Linked DNA regions of Arabidopsis thaliana. The protein of the gene in region 1 interacts with the protein of each later gene in a pairwise test. Each region holds a gene or a part of one and is shown in the gene's direction. Other genes may lie near its edges.

What was found. Proteins that work in one complex are often made in the same cells at the same time.
Region 2: the proteins of SPA1 (region 1) and PHYB interact in a two-hybrid assay, tested with the Arabidopsis thaliana proteins (4 studies listed by BioGRID, with this or other methods).
Region 3: the proteins of SPA1 (region 1) and CRY1 interact in a two-hybrid assay, tested with the Arabidopsis thaliana proteins (3 studies listed by BioGRID).

The regions. Positions count from the first base shown.
Region 1 is NC_003071.7:19,021,642-19,029,282, reverse strand, and holds SPA1 (SPA (suppressor of phyA-105) protein family), read left to right. Parts: upstream 1-1,754; 5' UTR 1,755-2,121; exon of another isoform or gene 2,122-2,316; intron 2,317-2,403; 5' UTR 2,404-2,461; coding exon 2,462-3,865; intron 3,866-4,166; coding exon 4,167-4,324; intron 4,325-4,576; coding exon 4,577-5,387; intron 5,388-5,589; coding exon 5,590-5,736; intron 5,737-5,894; coding exon 5,895-6,212; intron 6,213-6,299; coding exon 6,300-6,359; intron 6,360-6,519; coding exon 6,520-6,711; 3' UTR 6,712-7,129; downstream 7,130-7,641. Other genes in the region: AT2G46360 (uncharacterized protein), read right to left, coding at 483-776. UniProt on the Arabidopsis thaliana protein: Controls normal photoperiodic flowering and regulates circadian rhythms. Required for suppression of photomorphogenesis in dark-grown seedlings and for normal elongation growth of adult plants.
Region 2 is NC_003071.7:8,137,858-8,144,994, forward strand, and holds PHYB (phytochrome B), read left to right. Parts: upstream 1-1,905; 5' UTR 1,906-2,221; coding exon 2,222-4,385; intron 4,386-4,473; coding exon 4,474-5,281; intron 5,282-5,371; coding exon 5,372-5,662; coding exon of another isoform or gene 5,663-5,792; exon of another isoform or gene 5,793-6,038; coding exon 6,039-6,294; 3' UTR 6,295-6,604; downstream 6,605-7,137. Other genes in the region: AT2G18780 (F-box and associated interaction domains-containing protein), read right to left, coding at 1-238; XTH21 (xyloglucan endotransglucosylase/hydrolase 21), read left to right, coding at 7,090-7,137. UniProt on the Arabidopsis thaliana protein: Regulatory photoreceptor which exists in two forms that are reversibly interconvertible by light: the Pr form that absorbs maximally in the red region of the spectrum and the Pfr form that absorbs maximally in the far-red region.
Region 3 is NC_003075.7:5,722,081-5,727,801, forward strand, and holds CRY1 (cryptochrome 1), read left to right. Parts: upstream 1-1,570; 5' UTR 1,571-2,179; coding exon 2,180-2,513; intron 2,514-2,680; coding exon 2,681-2,899; intron 2,900-2,982; coding exon 2,983-4,471; intron 4,472-4,821; coding exon 4,822-4,825; 3' UTR 4,826-5,188; downstream 5,189-5,721.

The DNA.
Region 1 (7,641 bases):
AGGAATCTCCCTATGATTTACGAATCCGAAATAGAGAGAGGAGGATTTTCATGTTATTGTGGTGGAGGAGCTAGGGTCGTGTCAATGCTGCTTTTGGTTCATTGTTTAAGAACAATGATCATAACACGATAAGATTGATGAATGAAACGTTTCTATCTGATATACCACACAAATTTAACTAAGCATCACAAATCCGAATTAGAGCAGAGAAAATAATACAACATGTTGCTGGTTAGGTTGAAACATTGAATTTGCATCTCTTCTATAGTTGATACAAGATTGGATACATCTTCGTTACAAAGCGAATACTTGCTTACATTTAATTACGCCAAAAAATCTCTTCATTTTCATCTTTTACAGTTAATTAATAATGAAAAGATCTGTTCATCTTTATATATAGTGATCAATAACAAAAAAATTTGAATCCAATAAATATAATTGAACTCAGGTTCTGGGGGCAATCACAAGTCAGTCATGCGCCTTCACATTTTCCTGTAATGCCTGAATTCTTTAGCCATGGGCTGAAGCACGTGAGTCCTTTTCTCCATCAACTTTGTATCCTTCATAAACCTCTTGTTTGCACGTGCTCTAGATTCACGAGCCTCGTGTGCAACATGGTCTCTTCTCTCTTTCTCCAAACCATTCTCATCTTCCTTCTTCGTAGAAAGCTGAGAGAGAAGCACCACCATGAGATTTACCTCCATCAGAGAAGTTTTCTCGTCTTCTCTTTTCTCCTCCGCATCATGTTTACGATTGGCTTCGCGAGACGAATCCATAAACCCAAAAAGAAGACCCAAAAATGATACAATTATTGGGAGCTATTAGTCCCTAAATTAGCCCGTCTTTTGGACAAAATTTTTATCTTCTTCTTTTTTTTTTCTTGTGGTCATTCATAGTAACTAATTAAATCAATTTGCAATTTTTTGAGTGGTATTGGTATATTTTCCATCTTAAAGACTCGATGGTAGAGAAATAAGATTCCTAAATTCATTAGTCACAAGATCGACCAATTTTTATTTTTATTTTTCTTATCTCAAATGTTTCGTTTTGAGAACAACCAAACATTTAACCATTGATAAAATTGGCCAATGGCTAAAATGAATGCCTTTTCATTGTTTTTTTGACATCCTAAAATAAATGCTTAACTAATGGGTTTATGGAAAACAAAAGTTGTGTCCAAGTTATAAGCGAAGCAGCCCATAAAAGTATTAAAATGGGCTGAGCCCAATAACTGATAGGTGGAGTATATTAGTTTAAATTGTGTTTGTTGTACAAAGTTTCCCAAATGGGTTTCCAAAATGGGCTGAGCCCAAAAAGTGTTGTTATAGGTGAGGGTATATTAGTTTATTCGCAAAAAAAGCGTGGCTTAATAATCTCCACATCTTTCACGTGACCCCCCTCGAATGGCGAATAGATTAAGCGACGTCGACGTGTTTTAATCTCCTCCTCTTAACAAATATCCCTAAAGATTACTTCCCCCATGCAACACTCTTAATACCCACGCTTTTCCTCTTTATTTACCATCCTACCCCTATACTCACACATATCGTTTAACCAGAGAGGAAAAACCTGAGTGGCATAATCCGTAAATAAGACCAAAAAACAGGACCATCTCTAAAGCTGATGTCACTAATCAAAAGATTATGAACGTAATCTCGTGTCATAATCCTTTTGACCTCTTACTTAAACAAAACAAGTATAATAATTGGGCAGCCAAAATAAAAAATCTTTCTCTCTTTTTGCTATAAAGTAATGAAAAAATTAAATAAAATAATGTTCAAAAAATTGTCCGCCAGAATAAAGAAAATTTGATATGTGGCTTCAAAGCCTAAATTAATCATTAAAATAAAAAATCAGAAAATAAGGAATGAAGAACGAATTGTGCAAAAGTCTATAGAGAAAGAGAGATTCATTTGTGTTTCTTCGACTATACACAGAATACAAAAGAGATATTATATGTAATTATCAATAGTATATGACAAATTTATAGCCTCACCTTTCTTCTTCTTCTTCTTCTTCTTCTGTGTGTTTTTGAATTTGCTTTCTTCAAGAGGTTTCTTCTCCACACCGCTTCGGTGTATGATCTGATTGTGATCTCTCTCGATATCTGGGATCTTCGGGGTAAGCGATTTGATTTTTGTGTATTTCTCGTTTCTCGTAATCTTCATGATTGGTTTTAATAGTTTGCTGCGATTTTACATAATCTTCTTCTGTTTTGATTAGCTACTTTAGATTACAGCTAATGATACGTTTCGGGATTAGTGATTATTGTATGTTTAACTAGTTTTAGAATCTCTACATGCATGAATTTACTAGGTAGGGCTTCTTTCTTCTTCTTCTTCTTCTTCTTCTTCATTTTGTTGGTTTGATTCTGATTTGTTTTTGTATTGTATATGATTTAAGGTATGGAGGCTGTAGATTATTATTATTATTACGTGTGGTGCTGATGCAATGAGTGTTGATGCCTGTTATGGAAAGAGTAGCTGAAGAAACTGTGGCGACTAACAACATACAATTGAAAGCACGAGTGGATGATGTTCCTTGTAATAAGCTTGATGCTCGTCATAACGATATGGTGATTCAATCAGAAACTGCAAACAGTGATTGTCCTGGAAGCTCAGCTCACAGGAATGTTGATTTGACTAAGCCGCCGCCTCCTGAGGAAGCCGCAGGAGCTAAGCTTTCTGTTGAAGAGTTGACATTGGGGAACTACAGGATTGTTCAAGGGAGTAATAATACTAATGTGGATAGTCCTAGGGCTGGCAAGTTTGAGCATCTTTATCGTTTGGCTAGAGGGTCTGCTTTTAGGGCAGGAGATGGGGATCTTGATTCTCAACCTCGTGATATGGATCAAATGTTGTCCAGAATCAGACAACAGCTTGCTGGAGCTCCTTCTGAGAGGCAAAACTTGAAACCTTTTATGTCTAGGAGGAGCGATCAGAATCTTGAAGCTTTTTCTGAACGTCTAAGAGCAGCTGGTGAGAATAGTATTATGAATGCTCCTGCATTGATCAGTGAAGGTGTCCAAATGAAAACGCCGGTGAGTTCTTCGAATTTTTCTCAGTTGTTACTTAAAAGAGCTATGAAAGGGAAAGGGGTAGTAGGAAAGAACCAGGAAACTCCTCCTGAATTTGTCTCTGATCAAGATTTAGGAAGCAAGGAAAAAAAGTTGGATATTAGCAAGTCGCCTACTCCTCACGATGTGTTACCTCTAAAATCAAGTCCCAAAGGAAATGGTATGGTATCACATGGTGATGGGAATCATAGTAAATCTTCTATTGGAATCAGTTTGAGGGAGTTTCTTAGATCAAGTTATGCTAAAAGAGAAAAAAGACATGGCCTTTGTCTATTTAGGCAGCTGGTGGAACTGGTTGACTCAGCCCATTCAAAAAGATTATTCTTGCTAGACTTGAGACCATCCCTTTTCACTTTAGTTCCATCAAAGAAACTTAGATATATTGGTAATTTTGGAAAGAACGATCTAGAATCAGATGTTGACGAAGATTTGAATAGGAGGAGGCCTGTTGTTGAGGAATCATCTAGTGGAGGTAGGGATTCGAAGAAAAGAAAAATGGACTTGCATTTGAATTCTCCAGGGAATCAACTTCAGGCCACTTCAACCGGGCGACCTTTCAAAAGGAAAAGCCCTGTGATTGATTTAAACATGGTTGATGCACGTAATCCAGACAGTTGCGAGCTTCAACAGCAAGACTACATAAAAAATTTAAGCGTGTCTTCAGTGTCGAGAAAACAGTCTATGTCCACATGGCTAGAAGAGCAATGGTATACTTGTCCAGAGGAGATAAATGGAGAAGATATTGGAGAAAAATCAAATATTTATGCCCTTGGTGTTCTTCTGTTTGAGGTATGGACGAATACCCAGTTTTATTGTTGTGGATAGATTTTTAGTTTGCTTTAATACCAAGAAGGATGTAACATTTCCTTGCATTTGAACACTATGTACTGTCATATCCTGCTTATGTGGGCTTTGGGTAGTTTATATTCTTTCATTTTCATGAAATTTCTTACTCTAGTCTGAACTTTGAATCCCAGAGCTAGTATTTTCCAGTCTGCAGTATATAACTTGTCAGTATTTTTGTTTACTTGTTTGATACTTTCATGTGAAGACGCCTACTGACATCTAGCTTGACCAATTGTTGTTTCAGTTGCTATGCCATTGCGAGTCAGGCGAGATGCATGCTGCAATGATGGCAGATTTACGCCATCGGATTCTCCCACCAACATTTCTCTCGAAATACCCGAAGGAAGCTGGATTTTGTCTTTGGCTTCTACATCCTGAACCCTCCTCCCGACCATCAGCTAGGTATTTAGCTGAGTGCTACTCTTTTATGATTCATGTGGGCGAGTATTTACTAGGAGTCTAGGAGTGGTACAAAGGAGAATCTGTAGACCTTCCATTAGCTTAAATAGTCGTATTTAAGATTTCTTTGCCGGATATCTTCAATTTTATTTAATGTTTTCCCGCTTAATTGTGAAGAAAAAAAATGGCATGCTACTGTGTGAATTATCTTCTTGTTTCTTTTTCTGTTCTCATTCTTTTCTCTTTATGTGACAGAGATATACTAAAGTCAGAGTTGATATGCGAGGATGATTCAGTTAAATCGACTGCTGCTGCTGAGGAGATATCTGAGCTGTTACTTCATTTTTTGTCTTCATTAGAAGTGCAGAAGAAGAAAAAAGCATCTAAACTTTTGCAAGATATCCAGACCTTAGAGGATGATATTAAGGAGGCCGAGCGAAGATATTCTTCAAATGTATCTCTGGTGAGATCTCATGGAGCTATTGAAAAAAGGGTGCAATCATCTCCCCTAGACGAGCACTGTACAACTTCCAGTGCCTTGTTTGTACCAACTGCTAATACAGACAGGCTGATGAGTAATATCCGTCAACTTGAAGATGCATATTTTTTCATGCGATCACAAATCAACTTATCGAGTTCTGCTGCTACTGCCCGTTCTGACAAAACACTAAAGGACAGGGACAGATGCTCTGAAAACCAAAATGAAAATCAGGATATGAGTACCAAAGGAAAATCTTCAGATCAACTCGAAGTGTTTTTCGAGGGGTTGTGCAAATTTGCTCGGTATAGCAAGTTCGAAACCTGTGGGACAATAAGAAGTGGGGACCTTTTAAACTCTGCAAGTGTGGTCTGCTCGTTGAGTTTTGACCCTGATGAAGAACACATAGCAGCAGCTGGGATATCAAAGAAGATCAAGATTTTTGACTTCAATGCATTTATGAATGAATCTGTCGGTGTTCATTATCCACTAGTAGAGATGGTCAACAAATCTAAATTAAGCTGTGTTTGCTGGAATAGCTACATCAAAAACTACTTGGCCTCGACTGACTACGATGGTGTAGTTCAGGTACCTATCGATGTCAAGTTTGGAATCTTTCTTATTTACCATCATATGTTGCACGGTAGGATCTATAGGACTAGCCTCATGTGCTTTCTCTTCCTCTATGAGATGTGTACATGTTAATCTTGTGATAAGATAGAGATATAGAAGCGTCTATTTCATGGTTTTCACTTGCCATTTTCTTACTGTATGGTGCTAATGAATGTAGATATGGGATGCCGGCACTGGACAAGGATTTTCGCAGTACACAGAACACCAGAAGAGAGCCTGGTCAGTTGATTTTTCTCCATCTGACCCGACAAAATTTGTTAGTGGAAGTGATGACTGCTCGGTGAAGCTTTGGAGCATCAATGAGGCACTTCTCTTTCCTTTACCTCCTGATATTGCAAGAATTTTCATGTCCCCGTTGTTTTTATTACTCCAGATTATAGCTCCATAAGGCATGATTCTCTGTTTATACTTGTGAATTTCCAAATCTAGTGAAACTTATATTCTTCTCTGTTTGGTATGCAGAAACGTTCATTAGGCACAATCTGGAGTCCAGCAAATGTGTGTTGCGTGCAATTCTCTTCTTATTCCAATCACTTATTGGCATTTGGGTCAGCTGATTACAAGGTCTATTGCTATGACCTTCGGTATGTCAAAACACCTTGGTGCACATTGGCTGGTCATGAGAAAGCGGTGAGTTATGTTAAATTTATGGATTCAGAAACCATTGTTTCTGCTTCCACTGATAACTCTCTCAAGCTTTGGAATCTTAACAAGACAAATTCCTCTGGTTTATCTCCTGGTGCTTGTTCATTGACATATAAAGGACATACAAATCAGAAGGTTAGTCCCAAAAACTTTTCTATCTACCTTTAACATCTCATCCAACATCATTAGTTAGTTCTGATGTCTAATCCTTTACCTGTGCAGAATTTCGTTGGATTGTCGGTTTTGGACGGATACATAGCTTGTGGTTCAGAGACCAATGAGGTATATATCACATCATAAAACAAAATCTCAACCTTTAGAATACTTAATTTCAGATTATCAAAGGTGGTATATGTCAATCGCGTTTAGTTTGTTTATGAAGCTGCCTAAAATTAGTTGTTATAACTTACTAAAAAAACTTTACTTTGATTTTGCGTCTTAGGTATATAGTTACTATAAATCTTTACCGATGCCAATGACTTCATACAAGTTTGGATCCGTCGATCCCATTTCTGGAAACGAATACTTTGATGACAATGGACAGTTTGTGTCGAGCGTCTGTTGGAGGAAAAAATCGAATATGCTTGTAGCTGCAAACTCTACTGGAAACATGAAGCTACTAAAACTTGTTTGACAACTTGGCCTTTTCGCTACTACTGCGGGCATTGGACTTTTTGAGTCTGAAACTAGGACAAAGCAGGTCTGACTTTGAAGCAAACGTTTTTGTCCTGGAAACTATGATCCCATATGACCAGAAGAGAAAAAAAGTTCGAAATCTTGGAGAAGTTGAAGAAGCAAAACTGTCTGTGATAATATATTATTTGATTCTTCTTCCTGTAATTCTATATATATGAGATATAATTTGAGATAAACTTCTCAGATTCTTCAGAAATGATTCATATTTGGTCGGCATAACGTGTAATGATGAGAGGTATATAACTTGTACAAGTGTGTTATATCGTTAGCTCGGTTATGTAATTGTTGTTGGAGATTCTCTATAAGAGAGAAAATATATATATCATCCATTCATTTCATCGCATGGCTACTACCTCTCGTCTGCGTATTTCACAATTTATGGTTTTAGATTCAGTGTTGTTTTAGAAGAAATTCATAACAATTGCACATACGATGTTATTAGTGTGACCACCAACTTCAAGTCTCTAGGAAAACAAGTAGAATATGTCGTTGATGAAGGGCACATGGGTTAAATGTGGTTATTTTTTTCCTATTATCTATTACTATAAATCTCGAAATCATGAATTAGACATGTTCTTTGTATCTATGTCCAACATGTAATGGGTACATTGTATGTTTAAGAGTAAAACTAGGATAGGAAGATGTAATTGATTGCTTGGTGGCGTGGGTTTAGGCCTTTGAGCCAACATTTCTCTTTAGATTTGAACCCTCTGCTTTCGCGAGAGACTCTCTTTGTCTTGCGTTTTAAAAATCAAAACATTATCCTTCCTTCGAAGCAAAATCTTTAAGATTTTGGTGCTATGCCATCTCTTGCAAGTCATCTTTCACATCTGCCAGGTAAGTGTCTTTTGAGTATTCCAATTCTAAC
Region 2 (7,137 bases), about 11 Mb from region 1:
TGAATAAAGAAACCCTAAAATCGAGCATCATCACAACATGAAACTCCTTACTCTGCTTCTTCTTTGCTTCTTCTTTATCGATGTGCTTCCTTGTAAAAGACATATCTTTGGATAAAGTGTTCAACTTTTTGCATGTGAATCGTACTCTTCTCAGAGATGTCACTGGAAACTTCGAGAGCACCTCCTCCGCCACATCCTTTGGAAGATCCGAGAGCATCGTCGTTGATTGTTTTTGCATATCGAAGAAATTTTACTTTACCTTTTACTCTGATTTCTTCAGAGATTATGAGAGAACGAACACTTCAGAAATGTTAGATGTTTCTAAATTGGGCTTGGGCTTTAAAGTATTACCCAAAGGCTATTAAAGTCGTTTTTTCCAATTTGGGCTCCTGATTTATTAGTATGGGAGGGCTTAGTTTTGGGCTTTAAAGTATGCCCCAATGCCTAATAATGTCTAGCTAGTTCTTCGTTATACTAAAGAACGAATTTTGGAAATTCTTGAATTACGATTGTACCCTTATATTAATTTCATCTTTTGTCTTATTCTTATTTATGCAAAAGTTATGCAAAAGTTTTAAGAAATTAGCAGCCAAGCCTAAAGAATCATTGAGAGTTTATAAGGGTGATTTGGTAATTGAGTAGTTTATTAGCTAATTTGATTTCAGTGGCACGTGGTAAATTACTGGTGGTTTAAAACTATTGTACGTGGACGATTCTTAGCCAACGAACTAGTACACTCTAGTGCGAACAGGTACATGATTAAATTCGTGGACATCCAATCATATCTCGTCCAAGATAAGACCAAAACATATGAGGTCATTACTCACTAATAAACATTTAAACTTTTGTTTTGTCAACGAATAGTGTGTTTTTCTTTTGTCATTCCAATTTTTTTCTGTTTTCTTTTCACTATTCACTTTTGGTCCATAATATTTTATGGGTATATAAGATAATCGTTTTTGTCTTCATACATGGTAACATGGATGTTTATATATGTAATAGTGTTAAAAAGAAAAAGTGGTCGGTTATACTTAACTTATTATGATAGAGCTTTGAAAACAAACAACACGAGATGGAGAAATTAGTCATTCAACAAAAGAAAAGGACGAACGCAGTGACTTAACATGAAACTGTGAGCGGCCCAAAATCATTTATGTAATGGACCCTTAACTTTTCATGCACACGATTTTTCTCATTTATATGTTTTTCTGCTCTCTTTTTTTCCTCTTTATCATTACTTTAATTTATTTTATGTTCTTTTTTCGAAGCACCATAATTGTATGCTTTCACCAAATAATCCAAATTTAGAATCATTAATATGTCAAAAAAGAATTGCATATATTCAATAAAACGTAATGCTAAGTAGTACAATGCATGTATTATACAAAATGTAATGATATAGATCCAACGTATATATCAAAGTGGACCAAAATATATCTTATGTATTAGACGAGTTTACTATGCAAAATTTATGATTCTATTCCGCATGGAGCGTGCTAATACTACTTCGAACCCCTTTGAGACCAATATGTGATTCTATATTCTATCTAGTACAAATTATGAGAAGTATATACGTACGATGAGAGTATAAAACATTTCAATATTTGTATAGAGAGGACACCACTTGGTTGACTTGACCCACGATAAGATATTGAAGAAACCAAACTTGTATAGTACGAATTCGAAATCGTAATTGATGATGCGATTCGACAAGTCCAGGGGCTCCCTCCCACGCGCAATGGGCCCAGCAACCACGTGTGGCCACTAGAGAGAATAAACCATTAGCCCACGTGATCTTGGGCCCAATCAATCTCTCCCTCACATTAAACGACAAAACAAAAGCTCTTCTGGGTTAAATTGATAAATATCAAAACTTTAAAGGTAATTTGCTAAAATCGCCACACAAAAAAAGTCGCAGAAAATATATGAGGAAACAAAAAGCGAAGACGACAAAAAAAAAAAAAACTCTGATTTTTTTTTGTTATCTCTCTCTATCTGAGAGGCACACATTTTGCTTCGTCTTCTTCAATTTATTTTATTGGTTTCTCCACTTATCTCCGATCTCAATTCTCCCCATTTTCTTCTTCCTCAAGTTCAAAATTCTTGAGAATTTAGCTCTACCAGAATTCGTCTCCGATAACTAGTGGATGATGATTCACCCTAAATCCTTCCTTGTCTCAAGGTAATTCTGAGAAATTTCTCAAATTCAAAATCAAACGGCATGGTTTCCGGAGTCGGGGGTAGTGGCGGTGGCCGTGGCGGTGGCCGTGGCGGAGAAGAAGAACCGTCGTCAAGTCACACTCCTAATAACCGAAGAGGAGGAGAACAAGCTCAATCGTCGGGAACGAAATCTCTCAGACCAAGAAGCAACACTGAATCAATGAGCAAAGCAATTCAACAGTACACCGTCGACGCAAGACTCCACGCCGTTTTCGAACAATCCGGCGAATCAGGGAAATCATTCGACTACTCACAATCACTCAAAACGACGACGTACGGTTCCTCTGTACCTGAGCAACAGATCACAGCTTATCTCTCTCGAATCCAGCGAGGTGGTTACATTCAGCCTTTCGGATGTATGATCGCCGTCGATGAATCCAGTTTCCGGATCATCGGTTACAGTGAAAACGCCAGAGAAATGTTAGGGATTATGCCTCAATCTGTTCCTACTCTTGAGAAACCTGAGATTCTAGCTATGGGAACTGATGTGAGATCTTTGTTCACTTCTTCGAGCTCGATTCTACTCGAGCGTGCTTTCGTTGCTCGAGAGATTACCTTGTTAAATCCGGTTTGGATCCATTCCAAGAATACTGGTAAACCGTTTTACGCCATTCTTCATAGGATTGATGTTGGTGTTGTTATTGATTTAGAGCCAGCTAGAACTGAAGATCCTGCGCTTTCTATTGCTGGTGCTGTTCAATCGCAGAAACTCGCGGTTCGTGCGATTTCTCAGTTACAGGCTCTTCCTGGTGGAGATATTAAGCTTTTGTGTGACACTGTCGTGGAAAGTGTGAGGGACTTGACTGGTTATGATCGTGTTATGGTTTATAAGTTTCATGAAGATGAGCATGGAGAAGTTGTAGCTGAGAGTAAACGAGATGATTTAGAGCCTTATATTGGACTGCATTATCCTGCTACTGATATTCCTCAAGCGTCAAGGTTCTTGTTTAAGCAGAACCGTGTCCGAATGATAGTAGATTGCAATGCCACACCTGTTCTTGTGGTCCAGGACGATAGGCTAACTCAGTCTATGTGCTTGGTTGGTTCTACTCTTAGGGCTCCTCATGGTTGTCACTCTCAGTATATGGCTAACATGGGATCTATTGCGTCTTTAGCAATGGCGGTTATAATCAATGGAAATGAAGATGATGGGAGCAATGTAGCTAGTGGAAGAAGCTCGATGAGGCTTTGGGGTTTGGTTGTTTGCCATCACACTTCTTCTCGCTGCATACCGTTTCCGCTAAGGTATGCTTGTGAGTTTTTGATGCAGGCTTTCGGTTTACAGTTAAACATGGAATTGCAGTTAGCTTTGCAAATGTCAGAGAAACGCGTTTTGAGAACGCAGACACTGTTATGTGATATGCTTCTGCGTGACTCGCCTGCTGGAATTGTTACACAGAGTCCCAGTATCATGGACTTAGTGAAATGTGACGGTGCAGCATTTCTTTACCACGGGAAGTATTACCCGTTGGGTGTTGCTCCTAGTGAAGTTCAGATAAAAGATGTTGTGGAGTGGTTGCTTGCGAATCATGCGGATTCAACCGGATTAAGCACTGATAGTTTAGGCGATGCGGGGTATCCCGGTGCAGCTGCGTTAGGGGATGCTGTGTGCGGTATGGCAGTTGCATATATCACAAAAAGAGACTTTCTTTTTTGGTTTCGATCTCACACTGCGAAAGAAATCAAATGGGGAGGCGCTAAGCATCATCCGGAGGATAAAGATGATGGGCAACGAATGCATCCTCGTTCGTCCTTTCAGGCTTTTCTTGAAGTTGTTAAGAGCCGGAGTCAGCCATGGGAAACTGCGGAAATGGATGCGATTCACTCGCTCCAGCTTATTCTGAGAGACTCTTTTAAAGAATCTGAGGCGGCTATGAACTCTAAAGTTGTGGATGGTGTGGTTCAGCCATGTAGGGATATGGCGGGGGAACAGGGGATTGATGAGTTAGGTGCAGTTGCAAGAGAGATGGTTAGGCTCATTGAGACTGCAACTGTTCCTATATTCGCTGTGGATGCCGGAGGCTGCATCAATGGATGGAACGCTAAGATTGCAGAGTTGACAGGTCTCTCAGTTGAAGAAGCTATGGGGAAGTCTCTGGTTTCTGATTTAATATACAAAGAGAATGAAGCAACTGTCAATAAGCTTCTTTCTCGTGCTTTGAGAGGTATATTCAGTTCTTCAGCTATGTTGTATCTGCGGTGTATATACCAATTCGCGGGTATTTGATTATTTTGTTGCATTTGGCAATGCAGGGGACGAGGAAAAGAATGTGGAGGTTAAGCTGAAAACTTTCAGCCCCGAACTACAAGGGAAAGCAGTTTTTGTGGTTGTGAATGCTTGTTCCAGCAAGGACTACTTGAACAACATTGTCGGCGTTTGTTTTGTTGGACAAGACGTTACTAGTCAGAAAATCGTAATGGATAAGTTCATCAACATACAAGGAGATTACAAGGCTATTGTACATAGCCCAAACCCTCTAATCCCGCCAATTTTTGCTGCTGACGAGAACACGTGCTGCCTGGAATGGAACATGGCGATGGAAAAGCTTACGGGTTGGTCTCGCAGTGAAGTGATTGGGAAAATGATTGTCGGGGAAGTGTTTGGGAGCTGTTGCATGCTAAAGGGTCCTGATGCTTTAACCAAGTTCATGATTGTATTGCATAATGCGATTGGTGGCCAAGATACGGATAAGTTCCCTTTCCCATTCTTTGACCGCAATGGGAAGTTTGTTCAGGCTCTATTGACTGCAAACAAGCGGGTTAGCCTCGAGGGAAAGGTTATTGGGGCTTTCTGTTTCTTGCAAATCCCGAGCCCTGAGCTGCAGCAAGCTTTAGCAGTCCAACGGAGGCAGGACACAGAGTGTTTCACGAAGGCAAAAGAGTTGGCTTATATTTGTCAGGTGATAAAGAATCCTTTGAGCGGTATGCGTTTCGCAAACTCATTGTTGGAGGCCACAGACTTGAACGAGGACCAGAAGCAGTTACTTGAAACAAGTGTTTCTTGCGAGAAACAGATCTCAAGGATCGTCGGGGACATGGATCTTGAAAGCATTGAAGACGGGTGAGTATAGTTAGAATTTATCTAGAAGCTAGTTTTGCTTACTTCACAAAATGTGACCAAATCCCAAATTTTGTTTTTTTCATTGATCAGTTCATTTGTGCTAAAGAGGGAAGAGTTTTTCCTTGGAAGTGTCATAAACGCGATTGTAAGTCAAGCGATGTTCTTATTAAGGGACAGAGGTCTTCAGCTGATCCGTGACATTCCCGAAGAGATCAAATCAATAGAGGTTTTTGGAGACCAGATAAGGATTCAACAGCTCCTGGCTGAGTTTCTGCTGAGTATAATCCGGTATGCACCATCTCAAGAGTGGGTGGAGATCCATTTAAGCCAACTTTCAAAGCAAATGGCTGATGGATTCGCCGCCATCCGCACAGAATTCAGGTACATTTCATTGTTCCCGCTGTTGTCTCCACATATCCATAACCAAAATTATGCAATCCGGTTTTTTTGGTTCCTTATTTTGTACATAAAGAAAATGAATTTGGTTTGGTTAATTACGAATTTGATTTAGGCGTTTAAAGAATTTGAGGTTTTAACCAATTCACTATTTGTTTTGGTTATTGTTTAGTTGGAACCTAGATTAGTTTGATTTTTGTATTCGGTTTAGTCGACTTGGGAACTTTTAGACACATCCATAGGCCTAGAATTAGCAGTCAAGGAATGTAATGTTTTCAAATTGATGAAAACCAGCTCAAAAGTGTAAAACTTGGGTTTCATGTGTTGGTGTCTTTGTTATGTCTTTATTCGTTGTTTGCAGAATGGCGTGTCCAGGTGAAGGTCTGCCTCCAGAGCTAGTCCGAGACATGTTCCATAGCAGCAGGTGGACAAGCCCTGAAGGTTTAGGTCTAAGCGTATGTCGAAAGATTTTAAAGCTAATGAACGGTGAGGTTCAATACATCCGAGAATCAGAACGGTCCTATTTCCTCATCATTCTGGAACTCCCTGTACCTCGAAAGCGACCATTGTCAACTGCTAGTGGAAGTGGTGACATGATGCTGATGATGCCATATTAGTCACACTTCAGTTGGTATGAGAGTTTGTATCATTGTATGAGTGTTTGTGTGTCTAACGACGTCGGAGGAGGATAGAAAGTTTTTTTTTTGTTTCCGGTGAGATTAGTAGAGAAGAGGGAGATTATTTGCGTTCAGCTCAGCTCGCCGGAAAAAAAACGTAACAGTAGTTGTAGAGAATTTCAAGACTTTTGTTTGTGCTGTGTAAATTGACAACTCCGAGAGAAACAAAACAATGAGATAAGAAGAGAGCATATTAATCGATGACCAATCCTTTTAATTTGTTACTCGTTACATCAATTCAAAATTATTATTTGATTGTTAACCATTTATAAATCATATTATATCCAATTAGTCTGTCTACGCAATCAAGAGGTAAAGGCCAATCACATTAATTTTAAAAGATTTATGATGAAATGGTACCGTCCAAAAAGTTGAAATTTTACAAACTCCACTATATATATAAAAAGTGAGATGTTTAAATTAGGCTGGCTAAGCTTAGGATGTAACACATTAACAATAGTTAATTTAATGTTTATGATGTATCGCACTATAGTTTTGATGTGTATGCTCTCCAGGCTGTTTCGTTTTTCACATTACCCACACTAAACTCACCTTTTTTCTTAAAGAAAATTAAAGTAAAGCTCAAAGACTGAAATATTAACAATATATAACTAATCATTAAGGAATCAAAACTCCATTATATATGCTCTATAAATACTCACCAATCAATAGCCTTCTAAATGTCTCAAACCCAATTCAAACCCTTAAACCCACCTAAAACCTTCAAAACTTATAATGGTTTCTAGTACACTTTTGGTTATGTCAATATCTCTCTTTCTTGGT
Region 3 (5,721 bases), on another chromosome or scaffold:
TCTATTATTTTTTGTACATACATATAATAAAATAATAAGCTCTTTCTAGCTATATTATGAATACTCCTACGAGCAATAAAATAATAAAAGGCACGTTATTTACACTCGAAAACAAGCTAATTTAGAGGTGGTCGAGAGCAGATATCATGATTGTTTTTTTTAATGTATGTAATCCGTTCATTTGTGTCATCATTATTCATTTTTATATTATTTATCCGCTTTGTTAAATATATTTTGTCTGATGTGAATTAATTGTTGAGCGGTAAACCAATCATGAAGTTATCTTTAAATTAATGTGTTATTGATAAAAAAAAAAGTAAATTAGTTGTAAATTTTTTTTTTCGTCAATTTGTTGTATACTTAATCTGATGAATATTTATGATTTTCAGAAATGTATGTTTGTATCTTCTAATTTTTACCCACAAAATTCAATGTCCTACGCATATGATGGAATTTAACCAAATACAAGTAGCTAGTTAGTGATTCTGATTTGTTATTTTTTTTTATGTAGGTCTAAGTTATAAATCAATTTTCTTCGAACCTAAAATATATTTTTAACCAGCTCTCAGTATCATGTTTAAAGCTATTAAAAAATTTAAGTAGACGATTCGACAACTACGCTCACCCTAAAAAAATAATCAGATGAAAAAAATCTAAATCTAAACTATCAAACATATTAAAAACAATTATGAAGACTATTCGACAACTACGCTCACTATAAAAATTAATCAGAAGAGAAAAATGTAGATCTAAACTATCAAACATATATGTGATGGAATTAAAATTGGGTAAAGCCGTAAAAGAGGTTTCATAATTTTGGATTAGTGATTTGGTAACTTAAATTGACTTGTCAAGGGAGTCTTAACTCTATCATGAATCAAGATAAACACTCTCCACACCAAAAACAATATATATATATATATATATATAGATAACATAAAAAGTCCTAAAATATGTTAAAAGGCAAGGAGGGCCAACCATATCCATCTCTCGCCCACTTTTGCTAATATGTCACTCTCTCTCATATCCTAACCTTCCAATAACATTTCAGAACCATCCTCGGTACATCATTTATATGATTTCTCTATTATCCTTAATAATCAACTTTAAAAAAATAAAAGAATAAAATTAAGATATCATTTGTTTTACCAGATAAACCGATCCGATTCAAACTAAACCATATTGATATTTATAATCCAAAAACCTCAAATCCAAAACTATACCAAATCATTTATTATATCATTTTATTTTATCTGAATATACCATTTTTCATAACACAGAAATTTTAAAAACCTAAACGAAAATCGAAACGAATCAGAACCGAAATCCGAATTGAACCATTTGATAATTAACCAATAATCGTCCCACTAAAATCCAAGTGTATAAAAAATCAGTTTAATATTTATATGTAGAATATGTTCTAGAGAATTATAGTATAAGATTCTACATTTTTTTTTTTTTTTTGAACAAAGAAAAAAGGAGAAATTTTAGGGAAAGGAGTAGAAATCTTGTGAGTCACAGTTGATTTGGTTCAACTGGATTGGGATAATATTTCAAGTGGAAAGAAATAAATAAAAGTTGTGGTGGAAAATTATTCCAATAAATCTCGTCGTGTGAATTGAATCATTATTCCTAGTGTCAATCTTCTTCACCTCTCTCTATCAACCTCCAATTTCTTCTTCTTCTTTTTTTTTAGATAACTTATTTTTATTTTATTTTTCTTTGATTTTTCACTTTAAGACAAAAATAATAATTTTATATTTCTACCAAAAATAAATAATAATTATAATTTAATAAGAGATAAATATTTTTTCAAACTGTAACCTAAACAATAAATAAATTAAAAGAGAAATTAATGCAAATATTGCTATATTTTTGGGTTATTACTTAGAGACTACTTTGTCCAAAATTAGGAAAAATCTTTTTGGGTGAATAATTCCCAAAAGTATAGTTGCATTTTGCCAGAGAGGCACTCAGAGAGAGAGAGAGATATTCGTAAAGATAAGCTTTTTTTTTTTTTTTGCCTTCTCATCAAAAATCTTTTTTTTTTTGTTGTCTTTCTTCTCGAGAGAGATAAGTGACCAAAGGGTTTCGATTTCTGGAAATAGTTTGAATAAAAAAGTAATTTTTATGTGATTATTGGCAAAGAAAAGTTTTAGTTTTTTTTAGTTTGTGAGAGATGTCTGGTTCTGTATCTGGTTGTGGTTCTGGTGGTTGTAGTATTGTATGGTTTAGAAGAGATCTTAGGGTTGAAGATAATCCAGCTTTAGCAGCAGCAGTAAGAGCTGGTCCAGTGATTGCTCTGTTTGTTTGGGCACCAGAAGAAGAAGGACACTATCATCCAGGTAGGGTTTCTAGGTGGTGGCTCAAGAACAGTTTGGCTCAGCTTGATTCTTCTCTTAGAAGTCTTGGTACTTGTCTTATCACCAAGAGATCTACTGATAGTGTTGCTTCTCTTCTTGATGTTGTTAAATCCACTGGTGCTTCTCAGATCTTCTTCAACCATTTGTATGGTCTGTTGTTCCTCTTCTCTTCTCTCTTTATCTTATCTTTGAATTTGCATGATAAAAAGATTTGATTTTTGTGATTGGAATCATCTTTTCTCTTATGGGTTATGTTTTGTTTGATGTATTTGTGGAATAAGATGATCTGGAAATGATAAAGTTTTGATCTTTTTCAGATCCATTGTCTTTGGTGCGTGATCACCGAGCTAAAGATGTTTTGACGGCGCAAGGCATAGCGGTTCGATCATTCAACGCAGACTTGCTTTATGAGCCATGGGAAGTGACTGATGAATTAGGCCGTCCTTTCTCTATGTTTGCTGCGTTTTGGGAGAGATGTCTTAGTATGCCTTATGACCCTGAGTCTCCTCTTCTTCCACCTAAGAAGATCATTTCAGGTTTGTTTCTTTGCCACTCTCTCTTGTGGGTTTTCGTTTTTTCCAAATCTGTATCATTCAATAATGTTTCTTTTATGTTGCAGGGGATGTGTCTAAATGTGTTGCGGATCCATTGGTGTTTGAGGATGACTCTGAGAAAGGAAGCAATGCACTTCTGGCTCGTGCTTGGTCTCCTGGATGGAGTAATGGTGATAAAGCTCTCACAACGTTTATAAACGGTCCATTGCTTGAATACTCTAAGAACCGCAGAAAAGCCGATAGTGCTACAACCTCGTTTCTTTCTCCACACTTGCATTTTGGGGAAGTGAGTGTGAGAAAAGTTTTTCATCTTGTTCGGATCAAACAGGTCGCGTGGGCAAACGAAGGAAACGAGGCCGGGGAAGAAAGCGTGAATCTTTTCCTGAAATCTATTGGTCTCAGGGAGTATTCTAGGTACATAAGTTTTAACCATCCATATTCCCATGAAAGACCACTTCTTGGCCATCTAAAGTTCTTCCCTTGGGCTGTGGATGAGAACTATTTCAAGGCATGGAGGCAAGGCCGGACTGGATATCCGTTGGTCGATGCCGGGATGAGAGAGTTATGGGCTACTGGTTGGTTGCATGATCGCATAAGAGTAGTTGTTTCAAGCTTCTTTGTTAAAGTGCTTCAATTACCATGGAGATGGGGGATGAAGTATTTCTGGGACACACTTCTTGATGCGGATTTAGAAAGCGATGCTCTTGGTTGGCAATACATTACCGGTACTCTCCCGGATAGCCGGGAGTTTGATCGCATAGATAACCCTCAGTTTGAAGGGTACAAGTTTGATCCAAATGGTGAATACGTAAGGCGATGGCTTCCTGAACTCTCTAGACTCCCGACAGACTGGATACATCATCCGTGGAACGCACCTGAGTCCGTTCTTCAAGCTGCTGGTATCGAGCTTGGATCAAACTATCCTCTACCAATTGTAGGATTAGACGAAGCAAAAGCACGGCTTCATGAAGCGCTTTCACAGATGTGGCAACTAGAAGCTGCTTCAAGAGCTGCAATAGAGAACGGATCCGAAGAAGGACTTGGAGATTCTGCTGAGGTAGAGGAAGCTCCTATAGAGTTCCCAAGGGACATTACAATGGAAGAGACTGAACCAACCAGACTCAACCCAAACAGGAGATATGAGGATCAGATGGTTCCAAGCATTACTTCTTCTTTGATCAGACCTGAAGAAGACGAAGAGTCGTCTCTTAATTTGAGAAATTCAGTAGGAGATAGCAGAGCAGAGGTTCCAAGGAACATGGTTAACACCAACCAAGCTCAGCAGCGGAGAGCAGAACCGGCTTCAAACCAAGTCACTGCTATGATTCCAGAATTTAATATCAGAATTGTTGCAGAGAGCACTGAAGACTCAACAGCGGAATCTTCCAGCAGCGGAAGGAGAGAAAGAAGCGGAGGCATAGTCCCCGAGTGGTCTCCAGGGTACTCAGAGCAGTTCCCTAGTGAAGAAAATGGTATTGGAGGAGGAAGTACAACGTCTAGCTACTTGCAGAATCACCATGAAATACTGAACTGGAGACGGCTTTCACAAACCGGGTATGTAACTCGCAAATCCGACTCTCTCAACAATAAGTTCACATAAAGATTCTAAACATTTTCAAATTGAAAGTCTCCAAATTTTCAGTAAGTTTCAATCTTCCTACACAATTCAAATAAATCGTCGATGCGCGTTGTGCTTGGCACACTTGTCTAGCCAAGTAGTATCAGTTTTAAATTGAATTTAGCTGAAAAGTTTTGAACTGTTTTCAAATCCAAGTGTTTGCATTTACAGTAGACCACAGTAAAAAAATTAGTGAAAGTTTCTATGTTTCACAGTTCAATTGGAATTTGGTACATTGGTCTAACCAAGTGGCATGAAATTTACTGTGGTATGTTTGGTTTTACAGGTAAAAAGTGCATTTGGAGGTGCAAAAGGAGAGGAACATCATAAGGGCTGTAACTCCGGTGAAATCTGGTTGGACTGTAAACCGAGTACATTTGGTACGGTTTAATGTAATTCCGGTTATGGGGCTGGAGAGAAACTATGTAGGAGTTTGTCTGATGTACATTTTTTATTTATCTCTGGTTCCATCATGTTATAATACACTGTATAGTAAGTAGTCTGTTGCTTGTGGTATTAGACCAGGTCTCATACTTGTTGGCTTTCAAAGTTTTGGTTATAAGTCAAACAGATGCCAATTCTTAATCTTATAAACATATATAGTTCACATTTATTTATGATAAATGACTTGTTAGTGTATATGAAACACGTACGTCTACTTCCATATAACGAGAATCCGAATAGGTATGTATACTGATAGTAGCCTTCGACGTCACGAGCTTCCCACAAAATCTCGTGCTGATTAGAAACTAGACAAGACCACGATCTCAGTTATAATCTCTGCTGGGCCTAATTCGCGTCTGAAAAAACGTGTCTCACGAAACTGTGAATAACTTAATGAGCTTAAATCCAAAACAACTTCTATAAAATGGAAAACGACGATGAAAGACTTCGAAATAACTCTACCAAATTTCGTTACCTTTGACAACGATTTGATATGTTGAAACTGTTTCTTCCCCAATCCTAACGATTTTGATCCTTCTCCTTCTCTCTCTTTTTCTCTTTTACAGAACGAAAAATGACTAACCAAAGCTCTAATTCGAGTTTCCTTCTTTTATAGGTACACTCTAGGGTTTCCATTAACCCAACCGATTAAACCGGGTGATTTAAACACAAACCATAACCGATTTTCCGGTTTACGGGCTTTACACAAGAACTATTCCTTAATGATCTCTTATGATCCATC